Rattus norvegicus: one gene and its partner. The protein of the gene in region 2 interacts with the protein of the main gene of each other region in a biochemical or structural test. Links are inferred from orthologs where the notes say so. Each region holds a gene or a part of one and is shown on either strand. Other genes may lie near its edges.

Region 1 (3,809 bases), on a different chromosome or scaffold from region 2:
TCGAGCCCCTTCAAGCTCTTCCAGTTCTTTCTCTGATTCCTTCAATAGGGGACCTATTCTCAGTTCAGTGGTTTGCTGCTGGCATTCGCCTCTATATTTGCTGTATTCTGGCTGTGTCTCTCAGGAGCGATCTACATCCGGGCTGCAGTCTTTTCTTTACTCCAGACTCACACAGAGGTTCTCTGATGCACCAGCACCAAGTCGGAGCTGCTCAGAGCATTTATAGTTCTAAAGTGTGAAGATTTGGAGAATTAGAATTTTTTTTAATAAAATTACAGGATTCTTCCCATGCCTCACTCCATTCATTTGCATTCTTGGTACTAAAGGATGTGGTCCTTTCAGCTAACTGGGTCATGGGGCTCAGACCAGAGTTCTTTTAGGGAAACAGTGCTTAAGTGGTTAGTTAGTCAGTCAATTTCCTTCCCTCCTCCTCCTTTGGGTCCATGCGTCTGTCTGCCCTTCCTTCCTCTTTCACCTGTTACTGAGATGGTGATCTCATTGTGTTGTGCTGCACTGCATAGCTTTGGACTCTTGCTCTCAAATGATCACTGAGCTTCGCTCTGGTGTAGTTTACCGTCATGTCTTGCTAGCTTGCTCTGTGTGTGTGCTCACTCCTTCAGCCTTATTCCCCTCCCCTTCTCCCTTCTCTCTGCACCCCCAAACTCGCTTTCTTGCCTTTCTCTGTTGTTTGTTTGTTGGACGCACATCCACTTGTGCAGAGCCTGGGCTGCCCTAGAACTTGCACTCTCTGCCTCCATCTCCTGAACACAGGGGTTATAGGCATGGACCACAGCACATAGCCTTACTTTCTGTTTAAGATATTGTCATTGGCTTATATTTGTCTAAAAATGAAGAACCATTAAGATAAGAATAAAATAGTCATTGAACTCATTGGATGACTTTAGAAAACTGGAAAGATGTTCATTTGTCTTGTGTTTATAGAATGGCTTCTGTATCTACTCCTGTAGCAGTGTTCAAGGGCTTCAGATCTGTCCTGTCCATCAAGGCTGTGAAGTTACCTGAAGACAGGCTTTTGATTGGCATGGGCTGCACCATGTTGTGTTTGTGTGGCACTGTGGGAGATTCGTTTTCCCTTAAAAATAATTTTCTTAGGAGAAGGAAGGACACTGGAACCTTCCAGATTTAATATCCTCAGTTGTTTTTCTTCGTTGTTTACACAGATGAACGGTATGACCCTGAGCCCAAGTCCAAATGGGACGAAGAGTGGGATAAGAACAAGAGTGCGTTTCCATTCAGTGACAAGCTAGGGGAGCTGAGCGACAAGATCGGGAGCACAATCGACGACACCATCAGCAAGTTCCGGAGGAAAGACCGGGAGGACTCTCCGGAAAGGTGCAGGTACGCTGCCTCTCCACCGCCTCTCCACCACTTCTCCACCACCTCTCCACCGCCTCTCCACCGCCTCTCCACCACTTGCTTAAGGGCTTTGCTTTACGCAGCCGTTTGGTTTGGTTTGGTTTGGTTTAATTTTGATGTATTGCTGTTATCTAAAGCTTAGCCTTTTTTAAAAACACACTTTGTTAGAGAAATCTATATGACACAGAAAATTTGATCATAAAGTACAGAAGGCACTACATACCCTTTCTCTTTCTCATGGTTTCAAGATAATTGTGTTACATTTCTTTTTTCTTTTTTTTTCTTTTTCTTCTTCTTCTGCTTTTTCTTCTTTTTTCTTTTTTTCGGAGCTGGGGACCGAACCCAGGGCCTTGCGCTTGCTAGGCAAGCGCTCTACCACTGAGCTAAATCCCCAACCCCTGTGTTACATTTCTTAACTGAAAAACTAGTATTGATAAGCTGTAGTTACAGTGTACAGTTTAGGCTGGAGGTTACCATGTTGAACATGCAGTATTCTCCAGTAACAAATGTCGCCTCCCTGAAAATGCCCTCTATAAAAAGAAAAGTGGAGCCATTTATAAAGTTGCCAGTCACCTAGTTTTATGATACTAGGTCAGCCCTAAGTGCTAGTAATATTGACTCTTCCGAGCGGTCTGCACCTCCTGTCTGTCCCTAACCGTTCTTGTCCTCTACATTTTTCTTCAGGCATCTCAGTCTTGGCCTCGAGATTTTTACCCTCTCTAAAATTTATAATTGTCATCTTACATTTGGACATCAGACGGTTCCATGGTCTAAAATAAGGTGTGGGGGAAGGGGATAATGAAGCCTACGTTGGAGAGAAGGTTAAAGGCTAAAATTTAACTACCTGAGACTTAGTATTGCCGTCCTGTGCTCACGTGACCAGAGCAATCCTGCGCAGGGGTGCACCTGGAGTAGTGGTAGGCACCTGGAGTCGCACAGGCCTGTGTTTATAAGCTTCATCTTCTGATGTAGGACAGTTATAATAAGCTGACATCAAACAATAGAAGTAAAACCTGAGGCCCACTCAGTCTGCATGGACCTGTGGAAAATGAGTTTGTTGTTTGTTTGGGGTTTTTTGTGGTGCTGGTGCTGGTGCTGGTGCTGGTTTTTGTTTTTGTTTTTGTTTTTTTTTAACTAATTAGCATCTTTTTCCTACCCATACATTTATAATAGTTCAGATTACAGTTCATGGGAATGAAGTTCAAATAAAACTATAGCCAGATTTTAAAAAGGTTTCAAAATACCTGTGTTCAGTGTATTCAGTGTGGTTCCAGAGCCATTAAATCTCTAGAATGCCCTTTTTAAGACTTGTAAGGGCATAATCTTTGAAGGAACAGTAGTATCAGTAATAGGAACGTATCTGCTTTCTACCAGAGGCCTGCAGGTGTAACACTGCAGCCTGAGAGAGAGTGTCTAAGTACTCTCCTGTCTTCCCTTATTAATATTCTACACAGGCTCTTGTGTCCTATGTATAAGTTTTTGACCTGACTTGAAGTGGGGGATGAGGTGTAGGGTCTTAGTGATATAGCAGTGTGTGGTCCTACTCTATTTTACCTTCTTCTGATATCCTTAGGGGCTTCTTCTCCTCTTCCTTGAACTCTGCTTGCTTTTTTTTTTTTTTTTTTTTTTTTTTTGCCTTCCTTGTTTGCCTGGGTGATGCTGATGATGGCCAGTCTGAGGCAGGATGGGTAAGAGTTCTACCTCTTTGATCCGGAGAATTCAGATTAAAGATCCGGACTATATTCCAAATACCAGTTGGTGATGTGTGCATGTTGCATTTTCAAGTGTTGGTGAGAAAACAGCATGCTGTAGACAGAGTTACATGTGACTCAGGGCTTTGTGTGCAGCCTTCTTGCCAGCCTATAAGCTATGCTTTCTGACCCTTGATGTATCTAAGTCCCAAAGTGACTTGTATTAAGTTGAGATTGCTTTAGATTGGAGTCAGAGTTCATCAGTGATACTCATAGTTTAAGGGGAAAGTCAAGCATTTTACTTTAGGATATTCATAAATTAAACTGCCTATCCTACAACTAGGGAATATAAATAATGGAACATACTTCAGGTTCTTGTCCCTTGCTTGCGCGCTCTCTCTCTCTCTCTCTCTCTCTCTCTCTCTCTCTCTCACACACACACACACACACACACACACACACACACACATTGTCTTTTCTCTCCCACTCGCCTGCTCAATCCCAGACAAAAACTCAGTGACTTAACATTAGAGAATAGACTCCTTTCATTCCCAGCATGTGGAAATCCTGGATTCTTGCTTCCTAGAGGTTCGCTTTTATAGAGCTTTTGATTGGTTGACTTGAAATGTTAACATGAGTAAAATAATTGTTTCAGAAATATTTAAAATATAGTTAAGTTTCTACAGTTGACAGTTATGTAATGCTTGATGTAACAGTAGCAAAGTGCAGCACAATTGTAAA
Region 2 (4,482 bases):
TTAATCCTAGCACTTAGGAGGCAGAGGCAGGCAGATCTCTGAGTTTCAGGCCAGCCTGATCTACAGTTTCTGATGCTGCAGGGATAGACAGAGAAACCCTGTCTCAAAAAGAAGAAAAGGAGGAGAAGGAGGAGGAGGAGGAGGGAGAGGAAGAAGAGGAGAAGCAGAAAGAGGAAGAAGAAAAAGAAGGAAAAGAAGAGGAAAAAACTTCTTTTGTTGTTTGCTATGGTAAACACTTAATTTTGGCTCTTAAAAGCTATTTTAATCTTCCATGTGAAAAACGTGGCTACCTTTGCCTTGCGTCTCTGCTTGAAGATTTCCTTTATGGACATTTCACTGTGAATTTGGCACGTTTCATTAGTACTCCTGGCTTAGAGTGCTAGCATTATGATGTTCTAGTCTTAGGCTGTACCTGGGGCTGCTCAGGGCAGATGCACCAAAGAAGGGTAGGAGGGTCTGAATTTCATAAATATTCTGTTGTCTAAATCAGTGGGTCTGGATTGGAATACATGTTTGGGGTGTGGTGCGTTTTCTGTTTAAGATGACATCTTAATGCAGAATCCATTGTGAGAGACAGTTGTAATTTCTCTCGTCTTAAATCTCTTCATTTGTAAACTTAGGTTACTTACTTCGACTCAAGAGATTGCTTAGAGGGCTAGGTTGTGCATTATGACCAATGAGACACCAATAGTTAATAAATTTGATCATGACCTTGGAGTCCTTTCTTTCCAGCCACTTGGCATGCCCCAGAAATTCAAGGTCAAAATTGTACGCCTAGACTTACCCAGTTCAATGTCGGTAAAGTATTTTGAAATCCTTGCATGAAAAACGAATGCCTAAGGGAAAAGTTGCAACTTCCTGTTTATGACACTCAAGTCTGAAACTCAGGATTTGTGCTTAGTTCCTGGTCTGTGGTATTCAGTCTACTATTGTGTTTTATTCACATCCCGGGTGGCTTTGTTGCCAATCTATCGGAAAGATTTTATTCTAGGTAGGTCACCTTTCCTTTAAATGGGCCAAGATATCAAGGATCTCTAGGTTCACATGGAAAAGACTTTTGTCACAAGTTAGTAATTATTTATCACACCAGGAACTGTCTAGTTAGACTTTCTTTGCTTCAGGTTATTAGTTCATTCAATCATAGATTGAAAGCCTATTCTGGAAGAGTTTTAGCTGTCTTTTGTCCAGATTCTTTTTTTCTCACGGGAGGGAACTGAATCGTTGGTGAGATTGACACACAAAGGGTGGTGCTGTGCTTGGATCCATTCTTCGGTTTCATCTTCTGTTTTTGCAAAAAAAATTATGAAGATACCATAAAACCAAGGATTCCAAAACTACTCGGCATGCTGCTAAATTTGATCAGAAAAGCTAAGGATTCAAAGGTGATACGAACCACTTAAGAATTCTTTTGGAAACACTAGCTACATGCCCTCTCTGACTTCCTGAGTTACCTTGCTGAGCTCCGCCCCCTCAGGTGACCCCACCGTTTCCCGGCTGCACCACTTCCCCAACCCCGCCACCAAGCGGAACCAAAGTGCGTTGACTCTGGAGTAGGGCCGGACCTTTCTAGCTCAGACTCCTCGCAGCGGTGACTCGGCAGCCGCGTCTAGCGTCATCAGTGACAGCCCCGACCCTTGCTACGCTTTGCGTCGCTCTGCCAGGCGCAGTCGCCTCCTCCTCGGCAAATAGTCCTCAGCAGGGTCCGAGTACTCGGGTCATCCGAGGTGGGAAAGAGCACAGGTTGCAGTTGGAGGGACGCGGAGTGGACGAGGAGAGGGAGCGGAGGAGCGACGTCTTCTCGAGAAGCGCGAGAAGTGAGTTAGAAACTCCCTCCTCGCCTGGGATCCCTCCGCCTGCAGTAGCGGTGGTGAGGCCGAGGGAGCCGCCATTTTGGATGTTCGGTTCCTGCTGCCACTGCTGCCGCCGCCCCCGAAGCTGCTGGTTTCATTCGAGGTTTCGGGCCGGTGAGTGTCACTCGCGGCACTGAGAGCTGGTTGTGTCTTTGGCTCCACTGCAGCTGCGAGCGTTTGACTGGAAACCTCCTGTCAGTCCCAGGGGTCCGGACTCAGCCTGTGGGGGGTGAGGAGGACCCAGGTTGGGTCAGGAGGGACCGGGGAGCCCCGGGCTTGCTCGGACTTCCTGAGGGCCGACCCTCGGAAGCTTCAGAACCGGAGCTCCGGTGCGCCGTCGCTTTCCCTACCTTGGGGTTGTCTGGCCGGTGCAGGCCTCCTTGAACCCATTGACTTTATCGAGCTGCTATCCTCCTTTGAAAGCTGGTTCAGGGAGCCTAGGATTTAGCGGGGCGGGCCCCACCCCCGCGTGTCCTCTCTGAGCCACGTATCAGCGTTCTTGTGTCGGGGACTCGGGTCAGATCTGAGAACTCTGAGCATTTCCCACGCAGGGGTAAAGCTGCCTGTCCCTGCAGTGCCGTCCACTCAGAGCCGGACATCGGCCTCGCCTCCCTTTAACCTTCCAACTAACTTCTCTTTCAAACATTTTCGCCCTTTTTTTTTCTTTTTTCTTTTCTTTTTCTTTCTCTTTTCCTTTTTAAGAACTCACCTGCGACCGCGCTGTTCACTCTCCTCTCCAACTCTCGGTTCTGCGGACGTCAGTTTCTAGGAATTCTCAGGATCTTCCTCATTGCCTGGAACTGTCGGTTATGCTTCCCAGTTAGGGGGCTTAGTGCTGGAGAGCCGTCGAACCACTTAGAGTGTATTTCAGCAGTAAATGGGTTTAAAGCGGGTCAAGCGGCTTTGGGTGGGAAGGAGCTGTCAAAAATACTTTCTGGATTTCCTTTCTGTTCTGAAAACTGAGTTTGGGGCACTTACTGATACTTTTTTCTTTTGGTGTTATATATGCTTAGCATGGAAGGCTGCCCTTGGAGAATAATAACCTGACGTAGGTAGAAAGGAAAATAACTTTTTTAGTTCCTATAGGGATTAGTTAACAGAAGAGCGAGCTGAATGGTCTCTTAGTGACCGCACCCCTCAGGTGTTTGTATAGTAATGATCTTTGCTGACTTCCTATGTTGACTTTTCTCAGAGTAGCTAGGTTTTAAGCATCCATTTCCACCGTTGCCCGTAGTATTTGCCAGACTATAAACTTCTTAAGGTTCGATTTGAAACCTGTGGATCCTTGAAGTAATGATAGCTTCATTAATTCTGTTAAAGTCTGTTTGCAGTCCAGTATGCTTGAATAAAGAACATTTCACAATAATTCACTGGTTATTTCCTACATTTCAAGTTAGGTGAGTGTGGTTGAATCACCCCCGTTTTATCTCACCCTAGGTTTTTCATCTGCAAAAGAGAAACAACTTCTTTGAGATCATGAGTGGCCGGAAACCTAAGTTTATAACATGAACCAAGTTAAATCTCTCAATACTTGTAAAGTTTATATTGATGCAGTATTTAACATTTTTGGAAGACATATTTATTTTTTTATGTTTGAGTGTCTTGCTGGCATACATAGTATGTGCATCACGGGCATGCTCAGTTCCAGCGGAGGTCTTTTGGATCCCCTGGAAATGGGATTCTAGGCAGTTGTGAGCTGCCCTGTGAGTTCTGGGAACTGAATCCATGTCTTCTCTAAAAGCAGTCAATGCTTTTAACCGTTGAGCCACCTCTCCAGCCCTGTGATGCTTTCTTTATTCTTACTAAGCTTTTGAAATGTCTTTACATTTCAAAGGTAAGTTCTTTACATTTAAAGGTAAGTTCTTTACAGGCCACACAGTGACACAGAGGACAGTATTTTCAGTGTAGATATTCTGTGCTCTTGTTATTTGTTTTTAGCAGCTCCTTCAGAACTAGGTTAATTCTTGTTAGACACGAGTTCTGTGAGTGTGCTGCTCCGAAGTTGTGCAGTTTTCTTTTGCTTTAAGAACTCAGCAGTGTCACCTTGTTTGTTATTGCTGAAATTTTCAGTTTTTGAGTTCACTTTTTGAACAAGTATTGAGAAAGCTATCATAGTTATTTAACTCAGTTCATGGTATGGTTTAACATACTGGGATTTAAATATCATTCATTCTTAGATGGTTTACAGTTTACCTTGAGAAAGTATCCTTTTGTTAAACAAATTATTAGCAAAGTGCTGTTTCCTGTACCCTTGAGCAGCACGTATATGAATGTCTACTTTGTCTCTTGGCTGTTGAGAATTGCACTGGAAGTTAACATTTATGTTTAGTAAACTTCCATTTATTTTCTTCCTTCTTCCTTACCCTCTTTTCCCCTCCCTTTTTTTGAAACATGGTTTTGCTAAATTGCTCAGGCTGGCCTTAATTTGCGACCCTCCTACCTTACCTGAGTAGCTGAGATTAACAGGCCTCTGCCAGCAGTGCTGGCCCAGCTTTGGTTTCTGAGACAGTCTTCCTATGTAGCTCAGGTTGGCGGGACTTGTATACTTCTCTTCTCCCAGTGTTGGGGCTGCAGGCTGCAGGCTCCGAGGATGTGTGTCCAGCTCCACTCAGTTGCTTTGGTAAAGGAAAAT

What was found.
Region 1: the proteins of Ap1g1 (region 2) and Clint1 form a complex in vitro, tested with the Homo sapiens proteins (2 studies listed by BioGRID). The link is inferred for Rattus norvegicus from reciprocal best matches to the Homo sapiens genes AP1G1 and CLINT1.

The regions. Positions count from the first base shown.
Region 1 is NC_086028.1:30,834,266-30,838,074, forward strand, and holds part of Clint1 (clathrin interactor 1), read left to right. Parts: intron 1-1,181; coding exon 1,182-1,359; intron 1,360-3,809. UniProt on the Homo sapiens protein: Binds to membranes enriched in phosphatidylinositol 4,5-bisphosphate (PtdIns(4,5)P2). May have a role in transport via clathrin-coated vesicles from the trans-Golgi network to endosomes. Stimulates clathrin assembly.
Region 2 is NC_086037.1:54,652,460-54,656,941, forward strand, and holds the start of Ap1g1 (AP-1 complex subunit gamma-1), read left to right. Parts: upstream 1-1,641; 5' UTR 1,642-1,964; exon of another isoform or gene 1,965-2,070; intron 2,071-2,200; exon of another isoform or gene 2,201-2,331; intron 2,332-2,559; exon of another isoform or gene 2,560-2,696; intron 2,697-4,482. UniProt on the Homo sapiens protein: Subunit of clathrin-associated adaptor protein complex 1 that plays a role in protein sorting in the late-Golgi/trans-Golgi network (TGN) and/or endosomes.